2 linked regions of the Drosophila melanogaster genome follow. The protein of the gene in region 2 interacts with the protein of the main gene of each other region in a pairwise test. Each region holds a gene or a part of one and is shown on either strand. Other genes may lie near its edges.

Region 1 (10,887 bases), on a different chromosome or scaffold from region 2:
TATTTTTTTATCGGCGTCTGGAATTTGTTGCGATTTAGCAGGTTCGTTCGTGTTCCTGACGTTTGACAGTAACGTGCAGGGCAGACAAATCATAACGGTAAAGCTGGCAAAACTGTTGGCGGGCGGAATCGCACACAGTGAGAGCGAGAGAGGGAGGGATAGGGATTGCGGATAGGCGGGTGGGGATGGGAGGTAGACAGCCGAGAGTTGACAGGTGGCCAAAGGCAATGGAGTGAGAGGGACGGCATGTGTGTATTTGTATGGATGCTGCAGCTACCTCCACTTCTTCTTCTTCTCGCTTTTCTGATGAAGTCAATTAGAAAACTGCATTGACAGTTAAAAAGTGTAGGGGAAAGAGAGAGGGGAAAGAGGCAAGACAGGAAGCGGAAGAGAACACAAGTTGTATATTTATGAACATGAAACAGTGCTTGTTTTCAGCATTATTTTTTTGTTCAGTGTTAATCAAACACACATATAAAAATTCGTGTGTGTGTGGCTGCGTGAATGACTAGCAAAAAGCGTTCCATAGTAACTGCTGCAGGTCCCGGTCCAGTCCTGTCTCTCTCTCTCTCTCTTTCTCTTTTTCTCTCTGTGCTATCAGCCTGACATTTATATATAAATATATTAAATATATTAAATATATAAATATATTAAATATATAAATATATATATATATTTTAAATATATATATATATAAATATGTATATGCGTAAATGCCTAGCAAAAGGCTGGGACGGGGCCCTGCACCTGCTAATATGTAACGCTTTTTGCTAGTCATTCATTTTTTATATATATTTATGTATATTTTTTATAGATATATTATATACATATATTATTATATATATATATATATACTAGACTGGACGGGGCCCTGCACCTGATACTATGCAACGCTTTTTGCTAGTCATTCACGCAGCCACACACACGCGCCGCTTGCACATACACGCTGGGTAATTGAATTTCCCGTTTGCAATTGGAAACCCGCGAATTTTCAATGCAGGACTACACTCGGCTTCCCTCGCCGAACCTCTACTGTACTCTAATTAGCAATTTTCACACAGCCTAAGGGAAGAACAACTGAAACTTTCGACAGCTGATCAATCATTAGCCCGATTGTTCTCGAAAAACGTTGCGAAAACTCTGCTGAAACCGCTGACAAAAAATCACAAAATCTTCTACTATTACCTGCGTTTCTATGCATAATTAAAATGACGTCAACCCGAAAACTTGATATCAGCGTAGCTCCAAATAAGAGCCAGAAGCTGACAAAAAAAATGTTTTCTGTGTTCTCCCACACATTTTGCACCACGGGAACTTTTCGCATTATTAAAATGCATAACGTTGCTTTTGCATTCAAGAACATTCACACGGCGTTTTCTTTTTGTTTTTTGCTAGGTATTTTCTATGACTTACCTTTTAATTTTTCCTGATTGCGCGCGATTTTTTCACTCATAGTTCAACAGCTGTCACCAAATAAATTCTAATGCAATACCAAATTTGAACTTAAAAAAAAAAAGTTGTGGGCAGGAAAAATGCGGAATGCGTGTGTATGTGTTTGCTTATTTCTCTTTCGGTTTATTTTTTTTTTTAACAATTTTGCACGCAATACAAATTTAGCACGCCGCGGCTACTTCACTTTGAGAACAGAGAACGAGAAAAAAAAGAACAGTAGATAGGGAATTGTTTTTTCAGAAGATCTCTAGGAACCGGGTTGAAAAAACATTTGCCCCAATATACTTTATTGTGCGTGGATGTGTGGGTTTTTTACCGCTAAGCGTGTCGCCTGAATTTTACACTGGAACGGTAAATGGAAGGTAGAAACACCCTGACTTCTCGACAACTGAAACACAACTGAACGTTTTGCTTGCTGGTGATTAACTGAGTGACGGCTTCTATTTCGGTTTTCGACTTCGGTTAATCACACGACGGACGACGAGCTCCAACATACGAGTCGTAGGCGGCTCTGATTGGCCAGAACACGGCCGCGTCTGGCAGGCCACGCTTGGCGGGCGACGTCTGGCACCAGTGATGCTTATTATCGATTCGATAACACTTACCGATGTAGGGATGCTAATAATTGACTAGTAACGGGGGAATATTTTGTCGAGTATGGAATTAAAATCCGCGTAAAACTGTTGAAAGTCAAATATGTTCTCTGAAATCCTGCACTCGATAACCGGTATTCAATATTCGATTGAATGCAATTTAAAGACGGACATCACTGATATAGGAGTTCTAAACGATACAAGCAGCTGACTTTTCGGGTGCATTCGATTTAGCTTATCGCAAATATCAATTTATTTTATCGCACGCACTCGATTTATTTTATCATCTATGTATACATTTTTTTTTTTTAATTTTATATAAAAGAATTACTATTGCTGGCTAGCGGTGTTTCGATAAAAAAAACATATTTTTTGTATTGCAAGTAATTAAAACTATTTACAATAATAATGTTAAAGAAATCCAAGCCATACATTGTACATTCGATTAAATTTTGTATGATGCAACATAGTTTCAAAAGAAATCGACATGTAACTGACGAGAATATAAAAGCTGAGACGGATAATGAAACATATCTTTAATGTTATAAATTACAACCAGTTTGTTTCCAAATTTTTTTTCATTGACATACTTATTGCGTCAAGTAATAAACTAATTTAAAATAAGCATATGTAAAATAATAATGATACAATTAGTTTTTTTTATAAATGAAAACATTTATAATTATATGTTTGTCAAAAAATGCATTATAAAATGATATAAACGTTTGAAAATATACAGTACCCAAAATAATATTTGTATTCTTAATAATCTCGTTAGTTATCCGTAACTTGTGGTATTCATATATATCGCTATAAACATACGACTTTAGCTATATGAATGTATTTGAATGAGATGTGCAATAAGAAAATCGTTACCTTTTTTTAAACAGCTTATTGTGAATTCAATTATGATTATCATAATTCATTATGGAGACCAGACATTGTTTATTAAACTTATTGCTTTTAAATGTTAGAACAAATTTTAATTGCCAGAGAAAACTTACTTATAACAACTTATAATAAGTGTATAAATTACGAAAATCTTAAAAATAATGCACTCAATACATTCATCGATTGCAACCCCGTCCTCGTTGTTATCGATTGGTGTGCTGCCAGCATTATACATCGCCTATGGAGCGTGGTGTTTTCGACCTACTTTCACAACGGTCACACGCTTTCTATTTGATTTTTTTTTCAACATAATTTTTGTTAAACAATTTGCCGTGAATTTTGTTGTGTGTGTGGATGTGGACGTGCTGACAGCCAAAAAAATTAAAATAAAAAAAAAAGAAAAGTGTTCGCAAGTCGAGAGCAGAATCGAACGGCAAAAAATGCTGGCGAACAACAAATCATCAAGGTAAAACTGCGCGCCTTGGTCATTAAGTCTTTCATCGAGGATAAAAGACCGATGTCTTTTAACGTTATTGCTGTAAGCAAAAGCAGAAATCACAATCTACTCATAAATCCTCGATTTGGTGCAAATTAAAGGAAATTCATCGGTTTTTGGCGGCCAGTTGCAAACACAAAATACTAAATACGCTAGATGGAGCACGCATACACGCAAGCTCGTTGGCGAACGTAAATTACATACATCATATAGATAGTCGTCCCGCTTGCACTGCCCGTCACAGCGAGGGCTGCGAGAGCGAGAGCGGGAGAGAGAAAGGCCTGAGTCGCTTTTTCTTCTTGTACTTTATATATTTTTTATTGTTTTTTTGTGTTGTGTTGCGTTGTACGTGTGTGTGAGAGTGCCAAATGTCAACGGAAATTACAACACTGCGAGACGGAGAAGTCTAAAAGGCAGAAGAAGAAGAAGCAGCAGCAGGCAGCATAAACAAAACTCGGGGGAAAACCACAAAAAATAACAGAGGGAGAAGCAGGAAGATGTTGCCCGCCAATAACAGGAGTAGCACCAGCACCCATACCAACACAAATGCCAACACAATCAACGCCACTACCAATACCACCAACAGATGCCTCATCAATACGGCCATCGAAAAAACGGTAGTCCGTTTGCGAGAGACGGCAGCGAATAGCGGTACTTTCCAGGACTCAGATGAGTCGTCCGTGGAATTTGATATTATTAACTATTATGGGGACGACGGCGGCACAACTCCAGCACCAGCTCCAGCCACAGCCTCCGTTACTCGCCACGGCGGCAGCAGCAGCGGCAATAACAACAATAACAGTGCATGCCATCCAGCACTGGATGCCAGCAGTGATGTTGTTGTTGTTGAACCGGCAGCGGTAGGAGTCGCACAGGAGGAAGAGGAAGAGCCGGAGCAAAGGCCAGAGAGGATCAGCATACCCATTCCCGACCTGGCGTTCACCGAGATGGAAGCATATGCCGAGGATATAGTCGTCGATATGGAGGGGGGATCACCAGCCAAGCCTTTAAATCCAAAGAAACAACGTTTAAACTCAGCAACAACCACAACAATAAATCGCTCGAGGGGCGGCGGAGCGGCACAGAGTCGATTACGCCGGTCGGCGGCCATCGTTCCACCGCGATCGATTCCAGAGAGCTGTGCCAGCAGCAGCAATTCCAATTCGAGCAGCAGTTCCAACAGTAATTCCAGTTCCAGCTCCGCTACAGGAAGTAGCGCATCCACCGGCAATCCGTCGCCGTGCTCCTCCCTGGGCGTCAATATGCGCGTAACTGGACAATGCTGCCAGGGAGGCCGGAAATACATGGAGGATCAGTTCTCGGTGGCCTACCAGGAATCACCGATCACCCACGAACTGGAATACGCATTTTTTGGCATCTACGACGGACACGGCGGTCCCGAGGCCGCGCTCTTCGCCAAGGAGCACCTTATGCTCGAGATCGTCAAGCAGAAGCAGTTCTGGTCTGATCAGGATGAGGATGTCCTGCGGGCAATACGCGAGGGATACATCGCCACACATTTCGCCATGTGGCGGGAACAAGGTGAGCAAGAAATAGCTGGGAAACTAAGCCATCTTACAGTTGAGACAACCCAAAGAAAGCAGTTAGTTGGCATAAAGATTTTAAATCATACGAAAAAAAGAGAATATAATATACTTGTATTTGTATTTGTTTTTGTGCCTTCTCTCATGCAATTTCATATCAAAATTGTTGCCAATGCCAAGCGACCGTTAGAGATGCGCGAAAACTGAATTAACTGCCAGTTGGCGGCATTCAAACCGCGTAAGTCCCCGTTGTCAGGGTTGCCGTTTCGCACCACCCCCCCACCCACACAAAAAAAAGTTGCCTCAAGTTTCGAGCTGCTCCCTTGGGTCTCCCATCTCTAGGTAATTATGCAACCGTGTGTGGCGATGACTCAACCATCGCTCAATTGCTCATCTCTATTGTCAGCCCACACTAAAAAGATACAAGTACAGCAGCAGATACAGATACAAATGCACACACACACTTAGTTATCGCGAGTGGAATATTCCACGGACTTGCCATATGGCTGTACTCTCGCCAAGCATGGCAACCCCGCTGTGAGTTAGAGCGGGACGTCCGTATGGCGGCGCGGCCCACCAAGGCGTTTCGAAATGCGAGAACGAAAGAGATGCAACGAGTGAGAGAGCGAGAGGTGGCCAAAGAGAAAAGAAAATAAATGTGTGCCCATTTTCCTATTCGCATAACAAAAACAATGTACACAGAAATTCAAGGGATGCCAGAAACGCAGATACACGTTTGTAGGTGTGTATCTGTGTGGGAAATATCAATATCCGTCGTTTCGATATACCAATATATTCAGTTAAGCGCCAAAAATCCAGGGGCCTTAGAAAATGATTTTTTCAACTGCTTGCATCATGTAAAGTGGCTGTTTAAATGCTATTACTCATTGCCTCATTAAATATATAAATATAAGTAGAAATTGTATTTAGTTGTTTGGGAAAATCCAGAATTTTAAAGCGATTTGGTATTGTTTTCTTTTTGTCCTTACCCTATTCATTTTTTATAATTTCATTAAGTTATTTAGGTTTTCTGTTAAAATGAAGGAAATTTTATGACTTACACAACCATTTTTTTTTTTTTTTGTTAAGGCTTAATTCTTCTTTGATAACGTATAAGTTAAGTTGGAATTATGGAAAATTCTAAAATCTGGTATTATCCTTTCCCAACCCCGCAGAGAAATGGCCACGCACTGCCAATGGGCATCTGAGCACCGCCGGCACCACCGCCACAGTGGCCTTTATGCGTCGCGAGAAGATCTACATTGGTCATGTGGGTGATTCTGGGATCGTTTTGGGTTACCAGAACAAGGGCGAACGCAACTGGCGTGCTCGTCCACTGACCACGGACCACAAGCCGGAGTCACTGGCAGAGAAGACGAGAATCCAGCGTTCCGGCGGCAATGTTGCCATCAAATCGGGAGTTCCGCGAGTGGTATGGAACCGACCCAGGGACCCAATGCATCGCGGTCCCATTCGCCGCAGAACTCTGGTAGATGAAATACCCTTTTTGGCGGTGGCTCGTTCCCTGGGCGATCTCTGGAGCTACAATTCCCGCTTCAAGGAATTCGTTGTGAGTCCCGATCCGGATGTCAAAGTGGTTAAAATAAATCCCAGTACCTTTAGGTAAGTGATCCTGATTAATTAGCTAAACTGCTGGACATCTTAATATTGAATAATTTGCCTGCAGATGCTTAATTTTCGGCACCGATGGCCTGTGGAATGTGGTGACCGCCCAGGAGGCGGTGGACAGTGTGCGCAAGGAGCATCTAATCGGCGAGATACTCAACGAGCAGGACGTTATGAATCCCAGCAAGGCGCTGGTGGATCAGGCCCTCAAAACCTGGGCCGCCAAGAAGATGCGTGCGGACAACACGTCCGTTGTGACTGTGATACTAACACCAGCGGCCCGCAATAATTCGCCCACAACGCCAACACGTTCCCCATCCGCGATGGCACGCGACAATGATCTGGAGGTGGAGCTACTGCTGGAGGAGGACGACGAGGAGCTGCCGACACTGGATGTGGAGAACAACTACCCTGACTTTCTCATCGAGGAGCATGAGTATGTGCTGGACCAGCCGTACAGTGCATTGGCCAAGCGACATTCGCCTCCGGAAGCCTTCCGCAACTTCGACTACTTCGATGTGGACGAGGACGAGTTGGATGAAGATGAGGAAACAGTGGAAGAAGACGAGGAGGAGGAGGAGGAAGAGGAGGAAACCAAATCGGTGGGAATTCTACAGCAAAGTTTGTTCAACCCCAGAAAAACGTGGCGCAAGTCAACCATCAACAATTCCTGGAGTGGCGTCACCGAACCGGAACCGGAACCCGATCCCGAACCAGATCGAATAGATGTCTTAACACTGGACATGTACTCCCACACCAGCATTGACAAGGGCACCAATTATGGCGGCAGCATAGCCCAGTCCTCAATAGATCCTGCGGAGACGGCTGAAAATCGTGAGCTGAGTGAGTTGGAGCAGCATCTGGAGAGTAGCTACAGTTTCGCCGAGTCGTACAACTCCCTGTTAAACGAGCAGGAGGAGCAGGAGGCACGCTCACGTTCAGCAGCAGCAGCAGCCGCCGCCGCAGAAGCAGCAGCAGTAGAAGCACAACAAACCACTGCCCATTCCGCATCCGTTGTGCTGGACCGCAGCATGTTGGAGATCATCCAGGAGCAGCAGCACTATCAGCAGCAAGAGGGCTATTCGCTAACGCAACTAGAGACCAGACGTGAAAGGGAGCGGCTGACCGAATCGTGGCCACAGCAGCCGGCTGAGCTGCTCGAGCTGGATGCTCTACTGCAGCAGGAGCGTGCCGAGGAGGAGCAGGTAGCCCTGGAGCAGCAGCAGCAGCGCGAACAGCAAATGGAGCAAATGGAGGTGGAGGCCATTAGTAGTTCGGGACAGCACGAATTTGCTTACCCAGTGACCACCGCCACAGCCAGCGAGTGGTGTGCTACATTACAAGAAGACGAGGAGGAGTTGGACTCCACAGTAATAGACATAGTAATTCAACCCGAACAAGAGTTGCAGGACAATGAAGTGAGCTCCACGTTGCCCGCCACACCCACTCATGTGGAGCCTGAGCAGATTGTGGACAAGATGGAGCCCCTGAAGGTTCAGGAGATGCTAACCGCGGTCGAAAAACCTCCATCCAAGCAGGAAAAGAAGCTGCCGAAGAAGCAAGAGACCAAACAGGTTGCTGTGCTAGATACAGTGGCCGAGATGCCCAAAGAGGATGCCCATGCCGTGCACTATATATTCCAGCGCATTCAAAAGGTTCAGGACTCTGAGGCAACACCAGTGGCCGTGACGAATTCCACAATGGCTGACGCCCTGCCCACCGAATCTAGTGGACTGGGAGGATCTATGACCGCGCCCCGAATCCGACGCTATCGCAACGTGCCCAACGAGAACCATCAGCACATGCAGACGCGTCGTCGTCAGATCTTCAAGCATGTCAAGCCAAAGTCCTTCATACAGTCCAGTGCTGCGGCGATTGTGGCCTATGGAGACAGCACCGAAACGGTCGGAGGAACAGCCGGAGCATCTGGCACACCTGCAGCTGGGCGTGTAGGCGGGGGCGGTGGCGGCGGCGGCGGCAGAGGATCGGCCAGTGGTGGGAGCAGTCCAGCGGTGGCAGCCAATAGTCGGCGGAGCGTCAATGTGGTGGCCAATGCGAGTGGAAACAGCGCTAGCAAAGTTGTGCCCAGCAGCAGTTCCATGATGATGACCCGCCGCAGTCACACCTTGACGGCCAGCGGTGGTGTGAACAAAAGGCAGCTGCGCAGCAGTCTCTGCACCTTGGGCCTGGGTGTGGGTGTCGGTGTCGGTCTGGGCATGGACCTGGACATGACCAAGCGCACGCTAAGGACAAGGAATGTACCCGCTTTGTCGGGCGGTTCAGCCACGCCATCTAGCAATTCGTCGCCAGCCAGCGGAGGCAGCAGTCCAGCCGGTTTCACAAGCCCAGCCAGTCCGGTCATCACGTCCAGGGGAAGCGGATCGCGTACTACCGCCTCGCCAGCCAGGCGCCTAAAACGCAGTCATGAGGATCGGGAGCAAAGAATGAGCTTGCGACGGAGCACTCTGAGTGGCAGTGCCAGCGGCAGTGGGCTGGTGGGCACTGGTGGGTCGCCCTCGAATGTGAAATCAAATCGCCTGCAGGCCTGCAATGGAGCCATCTCTGCGCGTCCGCCGCCCTCGCCGAAGAAACTGAATGCAGCCGTGCCCACATTGGCAATTGGAACGCGTGCATATACGGCGGCGTTGGCGGCGGCGGCGGATCACCTGAACAAGCGGTGGTCGTTGCGCAGCAGCAGTGGCAACTCTGGCAATCTGATAACCGCCATCAGTTGCTACAGTGACAGGAGCAGGGCGGCGACTGCGGCGGGATCACCGGGATCTGGAGGCGGGGCAGCGGGACCACCAGGAGCATCTTTGGCCGCATCCACAGTCGGCACGCGAAGGCGCTAGGCTAGATTGTAACGAAACATGCGAGCAACTTGCAAGTACAAATCCTAAGCAACGGAAAATTTTAGATCCTAGTATACTACTTTACTGAAAACGCAAAATTGCATAATTTAACCAATTTTTTTATGTGCACAACACACACACACACACACACATCTTTTAAATGTATATATAAAAAACTGTATAAGCCGCCGCATAAAAAAAAATATATATATTGATATATATACATTTATACCTACGCCTAAACAATTAAACAAATTCATAGTGTAGCTATAAGTCGAAGTTAGTAAATAGCAAAAAGTACATAGGAATATATATATAGATATATATATTTTTTGTATCGCCCAAAGTAAGAAGTTCTCCAACATCCGAAAGTTTTCCTCAACATAAATATTCTCTTTTCTAACTAAATCGTTTCGTTCAGTGTACGGCAGACTGGAAAGTATTTTTATCTCGTCTCTTGTGTTTAACTGTTTTACGCTATGTTGTCTAAGATAGTTGATAAGTTAGGCTAACACGAGAGAAGCTAATATTTTTAGGTTTATCATTTAATTTTTTTTTTTGTTCTTCGCTTGTAAGGTGTTCACCACTTGCGTTTGCAAGTCATTTTCATGTCATCGCGAAATATTTTCAATTGAAATACATCTATTTTTACATAATTCTATGGGTTTTTGGATTTTCATTCAATTTAGCATATGGATTCTCATAATCAAATTTAATTTTAAAGTAAGACATTTTTTCAAGTGTCGATAATTATGGTTGACCATATAGCATGGTCACACTGGCATGGTTTGCTATAAAGTGAATTAAATGTTTTGCGTCCCAAGTAAATGCAACAAAAGCTGGGAACAAAATGTCATTGCTCTCAAGAGTTTTGTTTCACCTATTGGGCGGATGTTTATCAATAAGTAAAGAAGAATTTTTAGAAATTTATTGCAACATTTAAACCCAACGGCTATGACCAGCTGATTTGCTATAAATACAGTATATTAGTGTGAAATTCAGTATTTTCCATAGAAGTAGGCCCGCATTATGTATGGTATGTTTTAGTCACTCCACGAACGGTAACACTTTGGCTTGTTTGCTTGAAAAAACGTAACTTTTTTTGTTGTAATGAAGGAAGCAGCACGGGCAGTAGACCAACTCGAAATCGCGCATTGCCAACACGTAACGTACCAGCCCGTGTAATAACAGAAGAAACCCCGAGCCGCAACAACAACCCCCGAAAAGCGGTAGTTGTAAGAGTTTTCCCAAAGTGGCAGCGGCAATTACACGGCGAGAAACGAGTTCGCGTCGCGTCCAGCTGTTTGAAAATCAAAATTAACCGTTTTTAGCGCGTGAAACAAGACGTTTAGAACCGTGTTCAAAATGTAAGTGCCCCAGAAAAGCCGTAGATTACGGAAAAACTAAAGCTGTGGTAAAGTGTCAGCTAGTCT
Region 2 (8,471 bases):
TGAGGTCCGGAAATAAGCGCATATTGGTTGACACTCTGGTGATCTTTTCTCGCTGTATCTTGGATCAAATCCGCCAAACGGGGGGGCTACTTAGCACCGAACCGGTTGAGACCAAAGCGAATCGGTTGCACCCATCTGGAGCCGCCTCTAACTGGTGTCCAGACCACAAAGCCCGGCGCCAGGTCCCGATCAGAAGTCGAAGCTGACGGATCGGATTGCATTTGGGCACTTTCCATCACGCCATCGCCGCAGAATTAGACACATGTCCGCACCTGTGCACCCAGCACACGTCCACTGCGTTGCGGAGGGCTATCGGCTTTCGCCGGAGATTGGAGAACCTGAGACGTCGGGGCTGCTGCGCCATACCGGAGACGTCGGCGGCAGTCAATGGGACTTATCATGCACGGACGGTCGAGTCGACAAATTAAACAAAATCGTGAACGGACTGCGCGTGGCGGTCCGTTCTATAATGAGCATGGGAACGCAAAACGCAGACAGTGGGTTGAGGGGACATTGCGAAACCGAAAACGGTTTTATTTTTAAAAACTGTCGTTACGTTTGTCGTTTTAATAAGCATTTTATGCATGCAAAACGCTTATGCAAGCTCCCGTGTCCGCGCATGAGATTCGCCAGCGAATTCTACAAACGCTTCCCACCGCTCCAACAATTATAATTAATGTTGTATAAGGAATAGCCGGTCTAGACGGCGGATGACTCAAGTCCCACGCGAGATAAGCACAAGAGCGATCAGTTCAGATAATAAAATTCCACTACATCCATCATGATAAGTGGCAAAGGTACGGCCTGTGCGTTCAGCCGAAAGATCAGATCTAATGTGCGTGAGTCATGCCGATAAAGCTGACTTACAGTCCTATAAATAGTTCGGATAAATCGCTTCTCAGCTTTGATCGACCGCGATTCTACGATTCATTTAAGGCCTTACAACATCAACATGAACCGTGAGACCGTGTAGCTCTGGCAGACGAAGCTGATTGCAAATCGTCTGATGCAATATGCTAATCATTCGCAAATGTGCGAGCTAAGCGCAATAGTTCGCAACTGACCAACTTTCGCTTCCTTTTGGGTTGAACAACGGAAAATGTGGGAACTTAAGTACCAAGATTTGGAGCAATAAACCAATCAGTCTTCATAAGAAATAAATCATTCCTAGAAGTTGTACCTTTATTAACTGGCCCACTTAAGACCGGATAAGGGAGTTCATTTGCAACTCTCATGGTGGGCGGCTCACACGCAAGTTTGGCTCCATAAGCCCTGCTCCACAGAAGCCTTTTATGGGCGACACGTGCCGGTTGTCGGTGGGGCAATATGCATGCAAAAAACAGCTCACGCTAGCACGCATAAGCCGGCAATGTTATTGTTTACCAAAATTGGGGAAAAATTCCACTTGAACTGCCGGGCCATCGGAAATGTTTGCACACTCTTTTGGCACCCATTCCGCAGCCGATGAAGCGAAGGAGAGGCATGATCGGCTGGAGAGGCTTGTCCGATTCGCTTCGATCCGATCCGCAGTCACATGACAAACGCGTGAATTGGGCGTTCTGAGTTCTGGGTGACAAGCGAAACGTGTGAATAGGCTAGTCGCACGACCCGCTTGTACGTCTAATCAGATGGCAGATAAACGGGCAAACGGGCAAAACAATTAGCCCCACTGGGAGCCCACTCTCTCATCCATTTCGAATGGTAATTGATGGATCGGCCAATTTTCGTGGGATGCGTACGGGTACGTGCTAAAAACAGCACGGAATGGTACTAATTTTAAATGGAACTCTTTGGGGAAGACAGAGTGTTGGCTATTCCGGGATTGTAAAATTGATGGCCCCTGCTTATAGGCGACCGACCCACTATCAATGCCATTCGAAGATAAAGCCGGAGTGTATGGGCATTAATAAAAGTGTACGGCAGTTTCCGCCCGATCGGACAAAAGCCGGGACTCCAAGAGACGGGAAAACCACTTGGCGATAAGCCGATGCAGCTAGTACAAAGGTGCGACTAGCGTTTTCCGCTGCTCAATTAGTGGGCTTCGCTACGGCTAATCGTAAATAACATAGATTACTCCGATGTCTAGACTATAAATATAATCGGGTGGCTAATTATATGTACGAACTCGCTATGGCGCACTCACCTATGAAGTTCAGCTTGTCGGTGGCCAGATTGCAAAAGTCGGGATCGTCCACATCGAAAATGATGCCATCCTCCCACTCGGTGACAATGTGAGACGAGGAGACGGAAACGGAAGTGGTGGAGCGTTGCTGCTGCTGTTGCACCAATGAGCTGTTGTTGTTGTTGTTGCTGCTGCTGCTGCTGGCGGAGATGTGGTTGTTGTTGCTGCCCGTTTTCATCTCCATAAGGGTAAGAGAAACGCAATTAGAGGATTCCTTGGCTAAGCAGATACGTGCTGGCATGCAAACAGCAAAAAGTACACACGTGGCTTAAAGCGCAGCTTGTGTTGATTGGCCAAGTGTTTGGATAAAGGGGGGTGGGGGGGTGGTTGATAACACAGTCAAGGGGGAGGGGAGCAGGCACACAGCTGTTGCACGCTTACCCCTCCCCGCACTTCTTACAACACTTCTTTGCACAAGTGCAACATGCAAATCAATAGATGCAAGCTAAATTTTATTTGGGTGAAGGCTACATGTGTGTGAGTGTGTGTTTGCATGCATGAGTGAGCAATTGCATTCGCTTCGTGTATTTGTTGCTGTTATTGCTTTTGCAAATTTTGTTTGGTCTCCATACATGTGTGTTTGCATGGAAATGCCTAAAATCTGTGTTACGTGTGCTGGCCTCTAAGCTCACTCACCTTTATACTAGCAGCACGCTCAGTCGACCAGCTTGAAGTTAAGTATCCAAATTTAGGCCAACGCAACCGAATTTTAAGTTAAATTTGGATAAAATTCAGGCAAAACAAAACTTTGCTTGCAAAATTGCTGGCAACTAGAGGTGGTCAGCTGTCGATTATCGTAGTTGGCAACACTAATCGATAGGACAGAAAGCGTTATGCATTTCAACTTCAATGTTCAAATGAACAAACTAAAATTTTCTATTCTCTTTTGATACCTGTAATATGAAAATAATATAGATAGTTTGCTTAGATCCCGCTGAATAACCTTATATATATATAACAATATAACTTAAATTTATTTTCTAATTTGTTATCTCAAATTTTAGCATTCTGACAAGTATCAAGTTTGTAATCATTTTTAACGATTTATTACAAATATCTTAATACAATTGTATTGTTAGTTCATATGCACACTGCCATCTCTAACGTGCGCCGTGGCAGACGTAAGCACCTCCCATCGCTATAAACGTAACCATCATAACGTAACCAAAATTCGATCAAAATAAATTTGGAATATCACAAAAATCATTATTCGCACCTGGAACAGAAAGAAAATGCACCAGCCTGGCCTTCTGCAGCTGAATAGATTGCACTAAGGCAGCATTTCGAATCCGAAACGTAGGAACTAGCCCACAGCGAAATCATGGAGGAGAATATGTGGTAAATAATAAACATTGGGTTGGGGCTACGTCAACAACTAAGATTAGTCAGAGAGTCTAGAGATTCAGCTCCAGCACCTCATTTTCTTTGGCATCCATCGCCTTTGGCTTTCTCGAACAGACCACCATTTGTTTCGCTGATTGAGTCAGCAGCTTGGTGCTGGGCCAGCGGGACGCGGAGCACCTGGGGGTGTGGGTGCTCCGCCTTATCAGCAGCTGGTTATTTAGACACGTTGACGTCCCCTTCACCCGTAGCATGAGCAGAACAAGTACCAAGCAACTGATTGTGATGGACATCCCTCTCTTGTATGCAGGATCATTGAGCTGGAGTCGGCACTGCTGGACGACTGCACTGTCAACGACATCTACGGCATATGCCAGGGCAAGGCTCTGCCGGAGGCACTGCGTCCGGACGTGTGGCAAGTGTGCCTGGATGTGCGCCACAAATCGGATCAAATGTCGCTCTTCAACGAGATCTACGACCTGCCCTTCCAAAGCCAACTGCGCGAGGATTGCCAGCGGCACGTCGATCGCATGGGCAACGATGAGGAGGACAAGGTCTCGGTGGTATCCGACCTCGAGTCCATCATCACCTTCTACTGCAAGAACAGAAACCTTCAGTATGAGCCGGACAACGGATGGATTGAATTGCTGCTCCCGCTGTTCGCCCTGAAGCTGAATCGCTCCGACACATTCAACCTGTTCGAGTCCATACGAGACACGTACATACCCAAGGGTTGCCGGCCCAAGGGCAATGTCTTTCATGTCTTCCGACTGCTCCTGCTTTACCACGATCCGGAGCTGTGCACGCTGCTGGACACCAAGAAGATCACGCCCGACTTGTACTCGCTGACCTGGTTCCAGTCGCTTTTCGCCTCCTGCAGCAGCCTGTCAGTGATCATTGCCATGTGGGACCTGTACTTTCAGAACGCCGATCCCTTCATGGTCTTCTTCCTGGCGCTAATAATCTTGATCAACGGCAGGGAGCAGATCCTGCAGATGAGGAGCTCGTCCAAGGAGGAGATCATCAAGTTCCTGAGCCTTATGCCGTGCGCCCTGGAGTTCGACGACGTCCCCGACTTTTGCTCCCTGGCCCAGTACTACGCGCTCAAGACACCAACTTCCTTCAAGACGGACTATCTGAAGGCGCTGTACGGCAAGCAGAATGATACACCGCGCAGCCAGGAGGAGGCAAACAAGGTATCACAGGCCCTGTGCCTGCCCGTCTCCGTTTACGAGCTGGTAGAGAACTCGGCCACAGAGTTTCCTGTGCCGGATGCAGTGCGTTTCTTTCTCGTTGACTGCCGCCCGGCCGAGCAATACAACGCCGGCCACCTGTCCACGGCATTCCATCTGGACTGCAACCTCATGCTCCAGGAACCTGTCGCCTTTGCCACCGCCGTCCAGGGCCTCCTGACCGCCCAGCGGCAGGCCATCGAGGCCAACTCGAACGCCGGCGGCGAGCATCTGTGCTTCATGGGCAGCGGTCGCGTCGAAGAGGACCAGTACACACACATGGTGGTGGCCTCGTTCCTGCAGAAGAACACCCACTACGTGTCGCTGCTGACCGGTGGCTACGCCTCCATCCACGACTACTTCGGCGATCAAATGGCCGATTGCCTGGAGGATCACAATGCGCGCAAGTGCCTCGTCTGCCAGCAGCACAACGCGCAGCAGGTAAGACTTCGATAACTCAGGAAATGTACAATACTTTGAATCGAATTAGTATACTTATAATTTCTCAATTCCGCTCCTGCAGACTAAATCAGCGCCGCTTAAGACTTCGACGCCATCCTCTACAGACCTATTCAGCAAGTTCTCCGCCGCCATGAAGTCAAAGTCTGCCGAGGTCAAGGGCAAACTACTAGACATTATCGTGAATCCCAGTGCAAATGGCGGAGCCACGGCTAGCGGCACCAATGGTGTGCCATCGGCGCCGGTGCAAGAGCGCCATGTTAGTGCAAAGGAGCGGAACGGCAAGCGCTACCGCAATGTGGCACCTGTGTTCAGCATCGACGATGAGAACGAGGATGCCTTGGACGGGGCGGGGGAGCGGGATGACGCACCGCTGACCAGCGACGGCAAGGAGATCGTGAATCTGAACCAGTACTTCAAGACGGCGGACATCATCAACGCCTTCAAGTGCCAGGAGGTGCACATGAGCGGCTACATGTACGACAGTCATTTGATCATCACGCCCGGGCAACTGGTGGTGCTGCGGGAACTGGGACGCGGCCAGGCGCAGATAATGGTGCGTCGCCCGCTGGCGAGCATCGTGAAGATCACGGCCAAGAAGCGACACCGCGACCTCATCACGTTCAAGTACGGATTCCCCGATGGCGATGGTCTGCTCATAACCGACATGGACCGCTTCCTCATACCAAATGCGGCCGAAGTTACGGCACTGATTTCAAGGCTCATCGTGCAGGTGCTTGACGACGCCAAGTAGGATAAACCGGACAACCGCCGCATGCTCTTCTTGTTTCCGCCTTTCCGCATCAAGCTTTATTTCATGAACGGCCACTGATACAAAAATCAGAGACACAAAGTGCAATGCGCCGCTGCGAGCGGTGTAATAGTTTGTAATTGGCATTGTTTTCCTTGTATTAGCTGAAATAGTATAGTTCTTATTGTAAACGAAGCGCTGGCTGCAATTGTAACATAGTGCACTCGGTGCAGAGACCGGATTTGAAGAAAATAGTCGAACGTAGTCCCAGATCACATGGCCATCCCGAGCATGCCACGCCCCCGATCCCAATTTTCTAAATTTCTAAGTGCGAATAAGGAACCCTTACCGAAGCCCTGAGACTTACAACGTGTACATGATGAGAGTAACTAATATTTATTGCAATCAAACCAAACAAATAAAACTGTATTATAATCGACACAAAAAATTGTTAAAAAATCATAGCTCTCTTTGAAATTTCATCGGAACTTAACAGATGCACCACGCAGCCGCATCTTCTTTTTTTTTTAGATTTCATGTTTTTCCAGCAGCGGAAGATTGCAGGTTGTGGTGCGATTCTGTGGATCCTGGAGACCATTGACTTCGTTGACAAGATTTTGAGCCTGCGCAAGTTGTTTGCTCCGATGGGTGCGATATAACCAGGTCGCCGAAACAAGTAAGGCGACCAGCAATATGGCTGCGCACACAGCTACTACTACTACGACTACCATTGGGTAATCTCGGACTGCTTCCAGCTTTTTCTGATTCAGCTCCAGTTTGCCCACGATCGCCAGGAGTTGATTAAATGATTCCAAGGTCACGGATTCCTGGGAAGATTTTGGTTCCTTCTGCAGCGTTGCGTAACCTGCTTTCGAAGGAACTCTTTCCCGGACTTCTCCACGGAGGGCGACAGCTGGACTGCGCACGGCACAGTCGCTTTGAATGCTCAGGATTCCACTGCCATTCAATTGGAGCTCCTGCCTCTCACCGGAGCACACTCCTATTAAAGTTAGCTCATTGGTAAGGGCCACCATCCAGGAGTTTGGTGCCACCATCTCTGTCCACAGACTCTTCTCCTTCACTTGACGCAAGGTGCAGACTTCGGAAGACTGGTTCCGTATGGCCGCCAGGGAGCAGGCAAAACTGTCATCCCCAGTCCCGTAGATAATGCGGTTGCGCCTGCAGATGAACCTTTCTTCGCCCAACTTGATGCAGTCGTCCAAGCTCTGAAGCGGAAAATACCTGTCCATATGATCGTTGATGCCCAGATAAGGTGTTTCGGTGTCCACCAGTTGGATTACGCCATTGTTTAACCGTGGAATGGGCGTCAATCGGTAGATATTAAACTTCTCCGCATCGAGCAAGGGCACTGTGATTTGGAACTCCACGTGGTTGCCCCGCTGCCGAGGAACTACGGAGGCGAGAAGGTAAATATTCCGGATTGTATATCGGCCATCCAGATCTCCCAGAATTGGCGGCATCTTCGCTTGCAGCTGTTTCATTGAAAGGACAAGAGGACTAAGCTTTCCGTGGTGGGCAGAGATTATGGCTTCAGTTATGGCATTCTGGGCACTTTTTAGTCTGCTGCCCATAAGGTATAGATACGGCTTCATCATAATCAGGTTTTCAGGTTCATAAGCCTCGTGAAAGGGTTCTTGAAGTATCACATTTATAACATTAATGGAGCTGTCAATGCAGGATGTTCCCATCCCAAGCTCGATGGACACGTCGTCATCTCCCAAAGAAAGTCGTCCGGCCCTAAAGTCCAACGCTTTCTCCAAGTCAATTAGTCCATCGTGAAGAATACTATCCGCAAACTTGGTAATGTCCAGAATTTCTGGACAAAGATTCCTTTGGATATCGCACACATCGACCAAAGCCTTGTAGACACCATTGAACGCACGTATTGCCGTATAAAGCGACTCCAAGTTGAAGCTGGCACATAACTTCCAATCTCTGGAGGCTAGCGATGCCTGACCGCTGTACTCCACGAAGGTGCCCAGACTGTTGTTGAATCCCCGCATCGCCATCGGACCTCCGATCGCCTCCCGATCAACTGGGCTTCCATGGGAGAGCGCTATCAGCGAGGGGGCGAGGATGAATACCAAACTAATCGCTTTCATCTTTCGCTTGTAGAGGTGATCGTTGCCCAGAGTTCCGCGCTAAACTGAAGGTGAGCTCCTGAGAATCGGGTAGCAAGCGGTAGTGCATGTCCATATGTATGTTCAATTGCTGATATAGCAAAATGATCGGATCATTGTGCGCAATATAAATTTTTAAATATTTGCAAGTGAGGCAATTAGCCAGAATTAGCTTTCAAATAAATATAATATAAATATATAATATACAAATATAACATAAGCCATCCATATTTATTATACATTTTACACTAGTCAAGTGCATTGAGTACTAATATAGTGAATTTACATAACAACCAGTGTCATAGCGGCATAACCAGCACCACAGAGGCCCACCGATGCGACCTGGCAGTAACGCAGCTCTTTGC

Evidence for each region.
Region 1: the proteins of TBC1D23 (region 2) and Pp2C1 interact in a two-hybrid assay, tested with the Drosophila melanogaster proteins (one large-scale study listed by BioGRID).

What each region holds. Positions count from the first base shown.
Region 1 is NC_004354.4:4,679,199-4,690,085, reverse strand, and holds Pp2C1 (protein phosphatase 2C), read left to right. Parts: upstream 1-3,182; 5' UTR 3,183-3,929; coding exon 3,930-4,974; intron 4,975-6,151; coding exon 6,152-6,599; intron 6,600-6,663; coding exon 6,664-9,454; 3' UTR 9,455-10,098; downstream 10,099-10,887.
Region 2 is NT_033779.5:1,125,986-1,134,456, forward strand, and holds TBC1D23 (TBC1 domain family member 23), read left to right. Parts: upstream 1-3,330; 5' UTR 3,331-3,503; coding exon 3,504-3,520; intron 3,521-3,833; coding exon 3,834-5,196; intron 5,197-5,278; coding exon 5,279-5,968; 3' UTR 5,969-6,426; downstream 6,427-8,471. Other genes in the region: Pino (pinocchio), read right to left, coding at 2,144-2,360; iris, read right to left, coding at 6,493-8,088.